2 linked regions of the Danio rerio genome follow. The protein of the gene in region 1 interacts with the protein of each later gene in a pairwise test. Links are inferred from orthologs where the notes say so. Each region holds a gene or a part of one and is shown on either strand. Other genes may lie near its edges.

Region 1 (6,462 bases):
TATAGGACGGCTAATTATTCAGTATATACAAATTCGATAACCACAGAAACCCTGTAGCCATTTCTGCTCCTATATATACTGCACATCTTACCATGCAATATCATATATTGTTCTCCCATGGAATCCAGACAAGGTGCATATACACTTCCAGGACTCATCCGAAGAACCTAACAGAAACATAAAAGCAGAATTCTTAGATTTATATTGTCGACTTGACCGGATGCGACCGGCTGACCGGATGTGATGTATTCCAGTGTTGTACAAGCTGGTCAGAGCGCGCGAGAAGAGAAACAGGACTTTATTTGGTTATTTTTTGAATCATAAAAAGTCTATTAAAAAAAAAACTGTTCATAAACGCAAGTAAGAAAGTAATAAAAATAAATTTTTTAATGTTGTCTCCACATTCCCTCCAATATTTGTAGCGGTCTTTGAGTTTCTAGTATTCATTCCTTCATTAAACCATGTAAATGCACAGAGAATAAAGGTTCTTGCTTTCACGCTCCTTTATTTCGGACACTGCCAGAACAGCTCCTCTCCCAATGGTGCATGACAACACTGAAAATACTGTGCGACTGCCACAAGGGGGCGTATTCTGACAGTCGTGTCCAAATGTCGTGTGCAGTGGAAAGGCGGCTAAACGAAATATTAAATAAGAAATCAGTGGGCGTGGCTTGTTTTTCTTCTGAGAGCTGATTGGATGTAGTGAAGTCGGCATTTCATTCAGAGAGCCGTCTTTCGGATGAGACGTTAAACCGAGGCCCTGACTCTCTTTGGTCATTAAAAATCCCATGGCACGTCTCGTAAAGAGTAGGGGTGTAACCCTGGTGTCCGGGCCAAAGTCCCTCTATCTGCCCTTACAATCATGGCCTCCCAATCTTCCCTTTCCACTGAATTGGCTGTATCACTGTCTCTCCGCTTCTCCAATAGCTGGTGTGTAGTGAGCGCACTGGCGCTGTTGTCCTGTGGCTGCCGTCGCATCATCCAAGTGAATGCTGCACACTGGTGGTGGTGTGGAGAGACCCCCCCCCGCCTCATGATTGTGAAGCGCTTTGGATGTAGGCCATACACAATAAATGCGCTATATAAATACACATTACATTACAAGAAAGATGGGGAAAGGGTTTGGAGACAGTTATTACAACAGACTCATCCTCCTCACCAATTCAGTTTGTTGTCAAAACTGACAGCTGGAGGGGCGTGGTTAAGTATGTTAGCCACACCCAAAACCTCAGACAGGCCTAATCTAAGAATTTAACCGAAAACAAACAGGAAGGGAATTTTCAGATTTTAAATTTAGATTAGAAGGGCAAACTTTTTTTTTTTAATGACATGCACAAATGAATTTATACAAAACTAGCAAAGTGAGCTAACAAAATCAATACGGTTAGATTTGATTTCACGGAGACTTTAAGATTAACTATGCAAAACTGTATCTAAAACTCCTCACCATCTCCAGTTGTCGACTCTTTCCAGATCTTTACGGTTCGATCGTCGCTACAAGAAGCCAATCTCCGTCCCTCAGGGTCAAAGGTCAAACTCCAGACAGTGGATTCATGTCCTTCTAGCGTGGCTCTGCATTCCCAGTCATCATCTTCCTCTTTATAAATACAGATCTTGTTGTCGTAACTGGCTGATGCGAGAAGCTGCAAAAGTATCAGAAAAAACACAGGTCAGTGTTGACAATTGGTGAATTTTTTTCCTCGCTGCTGTCGCCACTAGCTTGCATGGTATCTGTAGAGCTGCGCACTGATGGATTTGCTTTTCACTGTTTGGATTCTCAGTAGTGATAATTAAACCACACTGAACTGAGCTAAACTGAACTTTAACATTGAAAACTAAAACTACACGGTTTCAATTCACTATAATCTTCTATGTGAGGCTGCTTTGACCAAATCTACATATTAAAAGCGCTGTACAAATAAAGGTGAATTGAATAATGTTGATCAAGAGTGTGAATATTATACCTCCTGCGTCGGGTGCCAGACGACATGTTTTACGTCCTGCGTGTGTGAATTCACAACACTTAAACACTCGTATTCGTCCTCCTCATCCACTACAAGGAAAATGAAGCATTTAACACAGATAAATCATCCTGGTAAAATCTTTTAAGATGAAACATTATAGGCAAAACCAGTGTTTATTCATCATAAACAAATATTGTCACTGTTTTGGAGCACACTAGCTTATAGATATCCTTAAAACTAACATACTAAAACTACCATGTATAAAAAAATCTTTAATTTCACTGGAGCTTTAATAAGAACTGTTTCTAGTCGCATTATGAACCATTTATCAGCACAGTGAGACTTAAAATTAATAAAGGTTTGTATTTGTGTTACAGAAAGACACTGTATTCTCCATATTTCTGAGGTACCTTCCCAAATCCAAACGCTTTTGTCTCTGCTGCAGGTGGCCAGTAAGCTTCCAGATGGAGCCCAAGCTACACATTTCACCTCATTCTCATGACCTTCTAACACCGTCAGGCACTGGAAACACACATAACAAACATGTCAGATCAACTTTCTGGATTTTTTAAGAGTCTAAAATTAGCCTTTTAGGGCTCTATTTTGATGATCCATGCGCAAAGTGCAAAGCGCAGGGCGCAAAAGCATTCAGGGTAGAGGTGTGAACCTATACTGGTCTCACGGTTCGGTTACGATTATCATGCCTTCGATTCGGTTCAATTCGATATCTCGGTGCATCACGGTGCATTGACGATGCTTTCCATATACAGTGTTATATTTTAGGGGGGAGGCTATAACAAGCTGTCTGTATAAACACACAGACACACAGCACCACACTGTCTGTCATTCAAACACATACACAAACATAGACAGCACCAAAGAAACAAACACACACACACATACACACACACACACACACTTAAGCCTTCACAACAGGGAGGGCTCACGCTGAGCGGAGCAGAAAAACAAAAAAAAGAAGCACTTTTCCGACGGTCCCTTACTCAGCACGAGCTCTCCCGGCTAAACACATATTGCGAGGGCTTAAGCGGAGCAGTGCTCGTAATGTTGAGCGAAAAAAAGAAAAACAGCTGTGAAACATAACCAGCTTTGTCTTTTTGTAGGAAACACACTTTAGATCTTTTTAGGGTAAGCGGTTTTTGAGTTATTGCCGTCTATACTTGAATGTGTGTCAGGAATATCGAAAACAAAACCAACTGAACCGCGCTGAGGTTTGTAAAAACTCGCGCTCACCTCCCTCGCGACAGAGCGCATAGGAGATAAATGACGTCAGTACATAATAACCGGTTATGATTATTACTGAACCGATACCGAATTGTCTGCATCTGCATCGCGGTGCACCGAAGAAACAATTAATTTTGACACCCCTAATTCTGGGCGTGTCAGAATCCACTTTTGCTATTTTAAGGGCGGAAAAATCCGCTTTGCGCTGTGGTGCATGGTCTAAAACCGACTGGACGCAGCGTTTCATACATCTGAAATTTTTACTGCATACACCGAATCACACCCATATTCTCCTTGTACATCAGAATGAACGTGAAACTGAGCGCATGTGCACGAGCGCAAAACCCCTCCCTGCCTCCTCCCCCGTATGAATATGCTTATTACTATACTTTGGCAAAACCCAATAAAAAAGTAATGGCAAAAGCAAGCAAGAAGAGAAACTTTGAACAGAATGCGAATTGGAGGTGCTGCTTTCAGAGCTAGACCGGGGAAAAACGGTGTTATTTGCAAGTTTGTCCTCCGGAATTAATAACAAAAGAAAAAAATTAGAGTGGGAGAGTTTAGCTGATGCGGTTAACACAGTTGGGTCTGAATGATGTAAAGGTGTAAAATGTTGTAGATTCTTTAACTGCGTGAGTGGCGTAGCTCGTAAAACGCATGGCAACATGTTTTGACACGTTTAAGCATGAACTTGGTTCAAATCCCACATCTGATGAAGACGTTCTTCTTTTTTTCCCCCGCTACATATCTGATTTTGGCTACTCTTCATCACGAGGAAGACAAGTAAGAATCATTAATAAGTTTGTGCATCATATATTATTTGCACATTTATTGAATGGAAATGTTTCGGATTCACGTATACAAATTCGTCTTCAGATGGCACCATTATAGCAATGTGCGTGCAGTATATCGCTCCGATTACATTGGGCAAACAGGCGACCGCTGCAAATTGCGCTTTAATGTTTGGCTGGTTAACTGCATGGTATGGAAACCTTATAAACCTGCTAGACATGCGGATGAACCCTTCTCATACAGCTGCCATTACACGGCTCAAAGACGTGGTGTGCAATTTAACACTACTGCCTCTAGGAGTCTCCCATGGAATTAAAACAGACACGCACAAGAAATGTGCGTCCGCCAGGCATGAAGTAGGCGTGGACCGACGCACATTCTCACGTTAATTTCATCGTTAATAAATCCAAACGCGAGCGTAAAACCTGCCGTACGCAAAGTTTTTGTGTGTACGCAGCCTTGATACATGAGACCCCTGGAGCCGCCTTCCCAATTTTCTAAATATGTCTATTTCATATTTTTGTTATATTATTATTTTTATAATATATATTTGATATTTTTGATTTATTAGAGGTCGATGACATATTACATTATTTTTTTAAAATATTTTATTTGGGAGAAATTTTTATATCCAATGCAAGTGCCTTACAACAAAACCATTGTTTTTGGTTTTCCAAAGGGAATTTTGGTAATACTGTAGATCTTTACGATAAATAAAATCTAATTCAGGAAGGAGACTGCAGTTTATTGAAAAAATTTACACTGATGAAAGTTTTTTTTTTCAGTTTTGTTGGATTTTTTTGTTTATTTTTGCTGTAATGTTTTTGTTTTTATTTATATTTATTTATTTATTTTTAATAATTTGTGCTATTATTGTACATTCTGGTGGATATGTTTATTAGATTTTTTTCCTTATTGCACTTGTGTTATACTGCAATAAAAAAAGAAAATTGAAAGAATGAAAAAAAATCAGGCTTATACAAGCACACACCTCAAAATCCTCATCCGTCTTCTTCCAGATGCATGTCGTGGCATCAAAGCTGGCTGAAGCCAGGTATTTCCCACAGGGAGACCAGGCTACTTTTCTGACTGTGCGCTGGTGTCCATCAGAAAGGACACACTTACATTCCCAACTGTCCCCTGAGAATGAAAACAAACGAGAGGCTGAAAATGCAATAATGCTTTTTTTCTATTTTTCTGGATGCTATTAATGTTTTAAAGAGACTATATAAAAGTCCTAAAACTTCAAAAGTCTTGTAATTACCACCAGTAACACCAAGGATTTTCCAATGAGTATTTCAATGAGTGCCCTGTAAAGGGTTCATATTTTATATTATTTAAAATTGTATTAATATTTTGTTATCATGATGGAGCAAAATGTAAAAAAATTGTCAAAAACAGAACAGCAAATACATTAAAAACACAGTGAGACCCCAAAATAATTATCTAATTGCATTTGAAATATTTACTTTTCCTTTAAATCTATAAGTTTTCCCTCTCAATAAGCTTTTACAAATTTTAAATATAATAAAAATTAATATTATCAAAATTGTTTTGTGTTTTATGTTTGACTTACAAGAGTACACTATTCCATTGTGTTTGGCAATGCGAGCACTTGCAATCCTTTTGGAAATACCTAATAGATGTAATCTCTAAAACTATTGTTAAAGAAATCCCTGTTTGCCCTAAATCTGTGTTCTTGGTCTTTTCCCACCTGCCTTATCGCTGAAGTCATATGAACAGAAGTTTTAAAATCTGTGTCTATTGCATACGAAATGCCTGACTGCCATTCACTGGAGAAGTATTCATGGTCCATCTTTGTCACTCTGGATTGAGGAAATGTCTTCTTGTATAGCAATGCAAAGACTGACTTACTCAGTCAAACAAAAAATGCACATATTTTACAAGATTTGGGACTTCTTTCTTTATTTTTTAAGTAAGAATGGCCTGAACGTTTAGTAATCACAAACAATGTGACTGTGTTAATGTGCACTGTGTTTGTTATGACTAACTTTAATATCTTTTTCACTTTCATTGGAATGTATGTGTGTTGAACTGTCATTGTCTTAATGTCTTTTTTTTTCAAAATTGCCCTTTTTATTATTATTATTTTATCTTATTTTAGTTTATTTTACTTTTATTCATTTATTAATTAATATTTTTTGCATGTACTGTATGTGTAACATATATATATATATATATATATATATATATATATATATATATATATATATATTATGTCTCTGTCGGGATGGGGTTGGGTGTTCTTTGATTGGTATTTGGTTACTAATACATTATGTATCACATTTTTCTGAAACAATAAAAGTATTTAAAAAAATTGTTTTATATATATTTTATATATGGCTTCCAGCTAACTCTATCAAACCTCTTCAGCTGCTTCAGAACGCAGCAGCACGAGTGGTCTTTAATGAACCTGAAAGAACACGTCACTCCGCTACTCATC
Region 2 (7,146 bases), on another chromosome or scaffold:
AGAGCTTAAATCCAATGGTCTGTGACAAAGCTTAATAAAAGCTCATCTTACAAGTTACATCGTCTTGTGAAGTGTAGAATGTTATTGATGTATCATTTTCATGATGCATAACCAAGTGTTGATGTACCAGTAAATCCATATACTTGACTTAGAAATTAATTATTTGTAGAAATGAATTAGTTTACCACATTGAACACAAAAGGAGTTATTGATAATTATTATAAATTTTATAAACCATATATCATCCAAACGTATGGCCACTAAAAAAGGTATTAAAGTTAAAAAGGCTTCATTGCATTCCAGACATTTCGCTCAAAAAACATATTCCATATAATACTTCTATTGGCAAAACTGTAAAGCTAATAATAAACAAGGCAGTGCAAATGATTTCAGTTTTACACATTCTCCACTTTCATTAACATACATTCCTTTGAAAACTTTCTAAAATCTGTTTGTTCAAATCAGACTAATATTAGTCATTTTGTACATTTACACGGATGTATCACAAAATTGCATCACCTTTTTTGTATCCACATACTCTTAAGCGAATAAAACTGATTCTGTTTCCATATTGACTTTATATTAGGATAATTTCTTCTCTTTTTTAAACAGAGTATGGATAGATCCCCCACTCTCTCCTTTTAAATACGAGTTGTTCTGATCGGATTTTGTTTATTGAATGCATCAATCATTCTAAAGAAGCAAATTAACAGCACTATTAATGGCACTGTTATTAGCCTTCAAGAGTTCAGTCATGACCTGTTAATGAAGCAGGAATGAGCTGATCACACTCCCCTGCTGGACAGACACTGGTTGACTACCTCCAGCAGCTGAGAGTTCTCCAGAGCCGCTGCCACTCGCTCTTTGTCTGCCAGCTGCTTGTTGACTGCAGTAGAAAGGGAATATATACATAAACATATATATCTAAAATTTTATATATATATATATATATATATATATATATATATATATATATATATATATATATATATAACATACAATTTATATTCAGAAAGTAAATTATTGTAAATAATAATAATAATTATTATTTTAATTATTAAAATGCCGTTTTTAAACGATGTTGTTTTGCTGAGAAATTTGTTGTTACAATACTATTGTTACTATTTTCATTTATGATTTTTCTTTATATTAGCTTTGAAATTTCTATGTTTATATTTAGCAACTAAAATGAACAAAATAGCTTAGTTGGCCATAATAACCCAGTTATTAATACATTTTAATGGTGGTAATTATACATCCACATGAACAGTACCTGTCCTGAAGCAATTTAAGATTGCTGAATTATACATGCATTATTTTCCTAAAATCATGTAAAAATATATAAAATATATCATGATTTGGCCGAAGTTTTTTTTGTACATTTCTCATTGTGGTGTGCTTTAATGTTTTATTGTCCACCACAAAAGAAAATATAAAGCTTTAATTATAGATCTAAGCCTTAAAACAGCATCTTAATCTAGTATATTCTTAGGAGAGAACTGATATATAAATTTAATAGAAACAGTGCAGTACACAGTTATAATACTCTTATAGATATATTACAAGCTAAAAGAAATTCATCCTCACAGAACAAAAAAAATCCAACAAATTGCATACATTTGCATTTTTTTGTCTCAAAATAAAATGTTTTTCAAGTGTTAAATCATATTATATAGAGAGCCAATTACATAATACAAAAGACAAAAGTCAAAAGTTACATGAAAATGCTATACATACACACACACACACACACACACACACACACACACACACACACACACACACACACACACACACACACACACACACACACTTTTTTTTCTTTATTAACTACTATTCTATCATAACAGTTTACCTGCATCCTCAGAAGCATGTGTGCCAGGCGTGATGTGAACGTCAATCTAACAACACAAAGACAAAAGATTTATGTGTGGCCCAGAGCCTACAGTAAGAAGTTCCAACGTGTTTGGTTGCTCAGTAAATACACTGTACCTTAAATCTGTCAGGCAGGGAGCGCAGCAGCTTGACTTTGATTGACAGGCCAATGAGTGTGGCCATACTGCAGTGTGGGATGGTCGGTGTGAACTCAACAGACACTGTGCTCTCCTCATCATTCACCTGTTCAGCCGGAAACATATTATAAAAGATAGAAAGGCATCAACGCTTGTTTGCAAATGAGACTTTACTTCACCATTTGTATTGTTTTTTTTTAGTTTTTTTTTACAATTTTAGACTCAAAAAAGGCTAAGAGCTAAGGAATAAAAAAAATATAATATATATATATATATATATATATATATATATATATATATATATATATATATATATATATATATATATATATATATATATATATAAATGTATGTATGTATGTATGTATGTGTGTGTATATATATATATATTTTTTTTTATTCCTTAGCTCTTAGCCTTTTTTGAGTCTAATTTAATTTATGTATGTATGTATGTATGTATGTATGTATGTATGTATGTATGTATGTATGTATATATCATTGAATACGTAAAAAAAAAAAAAAGACAAATGTTTTAAAAGTTTAAATATGATAATAAACTAAATCTATGCGCAACAATCTGTCCAAGCCAGTATCCTTAGCAGTAAATACATGGAGCACTTTTAAACAATTGCTATTGTAAGGGAAATAGTTCAACTATTATGATAAGTAGTGTTAAAGATCATAATACTTTAATCATTACATAAAAATATTTATGTATATGGATTGCAGGTGATTGCATGGGTTTTGGCCAGGTTGGTTAGCAATACATGAACAAATGAAAATTAGGACTTGTTTTTAAAAAAAAAAAAAAAGATTTAAGACCTTCAAAACAATATTTCTGTAAATTCAGGACTTATTAAGGCCTAAAATTCAGATTTTGGGATTTAAGATATTTTAAGACTTTTTAAGACCCAACGGAAACCCTGCGGTTAAATAAGCATCTGAAATATTTTATGGCATACTTCAAAAAACAAAGATGATTTAGTGTTCAAAAATGTTAGATTTTTATTATGCTTTTAAATAAATTTGGTCTTAAATTTCATATTTTCTGATTTTTATAGTATATGTATCAACTCCGGTACTTTTACCATAAACCAACATGTCAACTATTTGGTAGAGGTTAATATTTTTGAAATTATGGGATGTGTTGAAAAAATGCATTGCGTTAACTGGTGACATTACGAGTTAAGAAATGCAATCCAAAAATGTTTATTTTGGTGGGGTAGTTAATTTATATCTATTCTGAGAAAAATGTTTGAACTGAGACTCGAAACAGAGAGAAAGAATGATGCATCACAATAACTTATTATGAATTATTTATATTATGCATTGAATTTCTTTTTTCCTTGAAGAATTATACTTTCATAGAAGAGTTCAAACATTTGGTAACACTTTACAATAAGGTACTACTACCATATAATACAGTCTATTATTACTGTAGTTTATATAAACTCACGGTGCATTAACTAATAACAAGCATGAATTTGGAATTTCAATAATGCATTAGTGAATGTTGAACTTAGTTACTATGATTAATGAATGCTGCACAAGCGTTGCTTATACTTAGTCCATGTTAGTAAACATATTAACTAATGAATTGAGGTAAAGTTGGTTTTATATTTACACATTCTGACTTTCTCCCTAATAATATGACTTTATTTAAGTATTCTTTGCTAATTCCTAATATTAACATCATATTAGCAGCCAATGACTATCAAAGTACAACATTTCATTTTAATAATGCTAAAGTTGTTTTGAAGTCATATTTACGTGTGATTTCAGTTATTAAATTCAAAGTACCAGGGTAAACAATACAGAGAGAATAATAATAATAATAATAATAATAAAAGAAATATGAATGAATGTCACAAGCTGTCACTGAACGAATGAGGGAATATAAAATCAACTTTACCTTAGTAACTAATGAAACCTTATTGTAAAGTGTGAACAAATTTTTCATATTTATTTATTCGAGGAGTTCTGCTATTGTGCAAACCACTCAGACTCACATTGACACGCACTTGTTCCACCACATTGAGCTCTTCGAGAGACAGCGGGTGCTCGGGGTCATTGATCGACCTGATCAAATGTAAGTTAATTAGTTAAGGTCTGACTCTAGTATACAGGAACACTTAAATGAGTTTGTGAACTCAAGCAGATTGCAGAAGTAAATAACTGCTATGGTGGCAGATAATTCAAAGCAACCAGGTCGACTTGTCAAAGCAGTGGTGTAGCCTAAAAGTGATGTACGGTGTACTACGAAAGGATATCGAAGATCTCTCTGACATCGATGGGGTCCGCCACATCTTCATCTTCATCAGTGGAGGTGAGCAGTCTTTCCCCTGACCGCTGAAATATCAGAGGATTGGCGTTCTCTAGTCGAGTTCCACCAGACATTATTACACCCTCGACAATGAATTTATGACCAGTAAGTTACTAGTATTTTAGCAGTACTAGCTAATCAAGTCGCTAACTCTACTTCGAAGCCAAACACAAATGACCACAACCCAGGCGAAAAACCCGGAAGTGTACTCGGTTTTCAAAATAAAAGTTTTTAAATAAAAGTCGATGTTTTTGTTTTTGGTTCTGTGTAGAACAGGGGTGTCCAAACTCGGTCCTGGAGGGCCGATGTCCTGCATATTTTATTTTCAACCCCAATTAAACACACCTGAAATAGCTATAACTCATTCTAGGTATACAAAAAACTTCCAAGCAGGTGTGTTGAAGGAAGTTGGAGCTAAACTATGCAAGACACCAGCCCTCCAGGACCGAGTTTGGCCACCCCTGGTGTAGAACATAATTTTACAACATTCTGGGTCATTCTACTGAAACGTGCTTTTTCTGTAGGTCCTTATTATTATTATTATTTTGGCTTAGTCCCTTTACTTATCTGGGGTCACCACAGTGGAATGAACCGCCAACTTATCCAGCACATGGTTTACACAGCAGATGCCCTTGCTTTCAGCTGCAACCGAGTGCTGGGAATCATCTACTGTATATACACACTCATGCACTATGGACAATTTAGTCTATTCAATTCATCTATAGAGCATGTCTTTGTACTGTGGGAGAAACCGGAGCACCTGGAGAAAACCCACGCCAACATGGGGAGAACATGCAAACTCCACACAGAAATGCTAAATGGCCGAGCCGGTAATTGAATCAGAGAATCAGAGGCGACAGTGCTAACCACTGGGCCATATTTATATAGATATATACTGTATATGCTTCATGGTCACAGAATCTTTCTGTTGGTTTCACTTAAAAGGAGCAGGATAAAACACGTGTTGAATTTCTGTACAGAAAGGTTGTGTTTTGATCTTCTTTAGGTTCAGGTGACATTCAAGTGATGCAAATTCACAAGTTAGAGTTCACTAACACATGCAGTTTGCTGTCTGATAGATTTGGATGTGCATGAATGAAAGTCAGTGGGGCAAAAAGTGTTGTCTGACCACACCTTTACAGACATGAAATGCTTGCATTGGCTGTGTTAAATTTCAGAGGCTGAATCCTATGAAGGAAGCATTTGAAAGTTGTCTCAATTCAAACTAATTTGAGGCTTGTTGTTGTTACTGGTTGGTATTTTGCTGCCTCATCCAATTTATGTACATTCTAGCTTATTTGTATAAATTATGATATTTATGATGGTGACGCGGTGGCACAGTGGATAGCACATTTGCCTCACTCCAAGATGGTCGCTGGTTCGAGCCTCAGCTGGGTCAGTTGACATTCCTTTGTGGAGTTTTCATGTTCCCTGCATTTGCATGGGTTTCTTTCAGGTGCTCCGGTTTCCCCCACAGTCCAAAAAACATGTGGTACAGGTGAATTAGGTAAGCTAAACTGACCGTAGTGTATGTGTGTGGGTGAGTGTGAATGGGTGCTTTTCAGTGATGGGTTGCAGCTGGAAGGGCATCCACTGCATAAAACATGTGCTGGATAAGTTGGCAGTTCATTCTGCTGTTGCAACCCCAGAATAAAAAAGGGACTAAGCCAAAAAGAAAATGAATGAATAAATGATATTAATGATATTTGTATGAACTGTATGAATTAGGTTTCAGTTTACTTTGATATGTAAATGAACAAATCATACTAAGAAGTCATTTCATAGACCTTTTACATTTTTATGTGTTGAATGCATAGGAAATAGGGAATTATATTATATATTAATATTTCTACATTTTGGGAATTTTGTTTTGCTATCAAAATGCTTGTTTTAAAATCACTTTGAGAAAAAGTCAATACAAATGTTACTGTCACTCATTAACGAAAGCTGCCAAGGTTGCTAGGTGACAAGATCAGTATATAGCTCAACTATCTTATTTCACAATGTTCGCCTCGGCCTGTGTAGACTTCAAAGGACTCACCTTTGAAGTCTAGGGGCCCTATCATACACCCGGCGCAATGTGGCGCAAGGCGCAACGCAATTGTTGTTTGCTGGTTTCAGCTTGGCACAAGACTCATTTTGATGTTTTAATAGCAACCACGCTGTTTAAATAGCAAATGCATTTGTGCTCATATGTGCGCCTGTAAGCGTTTGGTCTAAAAAGGAAGGTGTTTTGAGGCGCATTACTGGCACATTGCTATTTTGAGAAACTATAATAGATTTTTCAATAGACCAGAACATAGCCGGTCTATTGTCCAGCGCAGAGTGCGATAGTTTTGCGCCTCGCTTACACACTGCTTAATACACACAAGGTGTAGAGCAATACGCAAATATCTTTACATGTGAAAAAGAATAAAAATAAGGAAATATATAGGATATAATAAGGATATATATAGGATATAAATATAAAGGATTAAAATATTACAAAACATATTATTTTCTAGCCTACATGAATTTAAAATCCATACTTTCATGCGTTCTTCAACTCGGGGGCTTTTTCAGTTCATTCATAACAATTTGCTTTTGTATAATGTTATTATTAGTATTATTTATTATATCCACATTTATATTTGTTTTATTAAAAACAAGCTTAGATTTGCCCACCTGTCAGGTTTCAGACCATGTAGGGCACAGGATGTGTATTAGGATATAACTCAGTTTTACACTTCGTTATTATTGTTCATTTATTCGTTTGCTGGAAATTAAAATTGAATTTAAAAATAGTTTTGAAACAAATATTTGTGCTTAACA

The links.
Region 2: the proteins of ciao1 (region 1) and ciao2b interact in binary tests that used the Homo sapiens proteins (3 or more experiments, as listed by UniProt). The two-hybrid records come from large-scale screens. The link is inferred for Danio rerio from reciprocal best matches to the Homo sapiens genes CIAO1 and CIAO2B.

What each region holds. Positions count from the first base shown.
Region 1 is NC_133183.1:6,292,607-6,299,068, forward strand, and holds part of ciao1 (probable cytosolic iron-sulfur protein assembly protein ciao1), read right to left. Parts: intron 5,139-6,462; coding exon 4,990-5,138; intron 2,487-4,989; coding exon 2,375-2,486; intron 2,054-2,374; coding exon 1,965-2,053; intron 1,644-1,964; coding exon 1,448-1,643; intron 168-1,447; coding exon 92-167; intron 1-91. UniProt on the Homo sapiens protein: Key component of the cytosolic iron-sulfur protein assembly (CIA) complex, a multiprotein complex that mediates the incorporation of iron-sulfur cluster into extramitochondrial Fe/S proteins.
Region 2 is NC_133182.1:45,534,341-45,541,486, forward strand, and holds the start of ciao2b (cytosolic iron-sulfur assembly component 2B), read right to left. Parts: upstream 4,479-7,146; 5' UTR 4,410-4,478; coding exon 4,283-4,409; intron 4,102-4,282; coding exon 4,022-4,101; intron 2,119-4,021; coding exon 1,993-2,118; intron 1,902-1,992; coding exon 1,856-1,901; intron 887-1,855; coding exon 786-886; 3' UTR 1-785.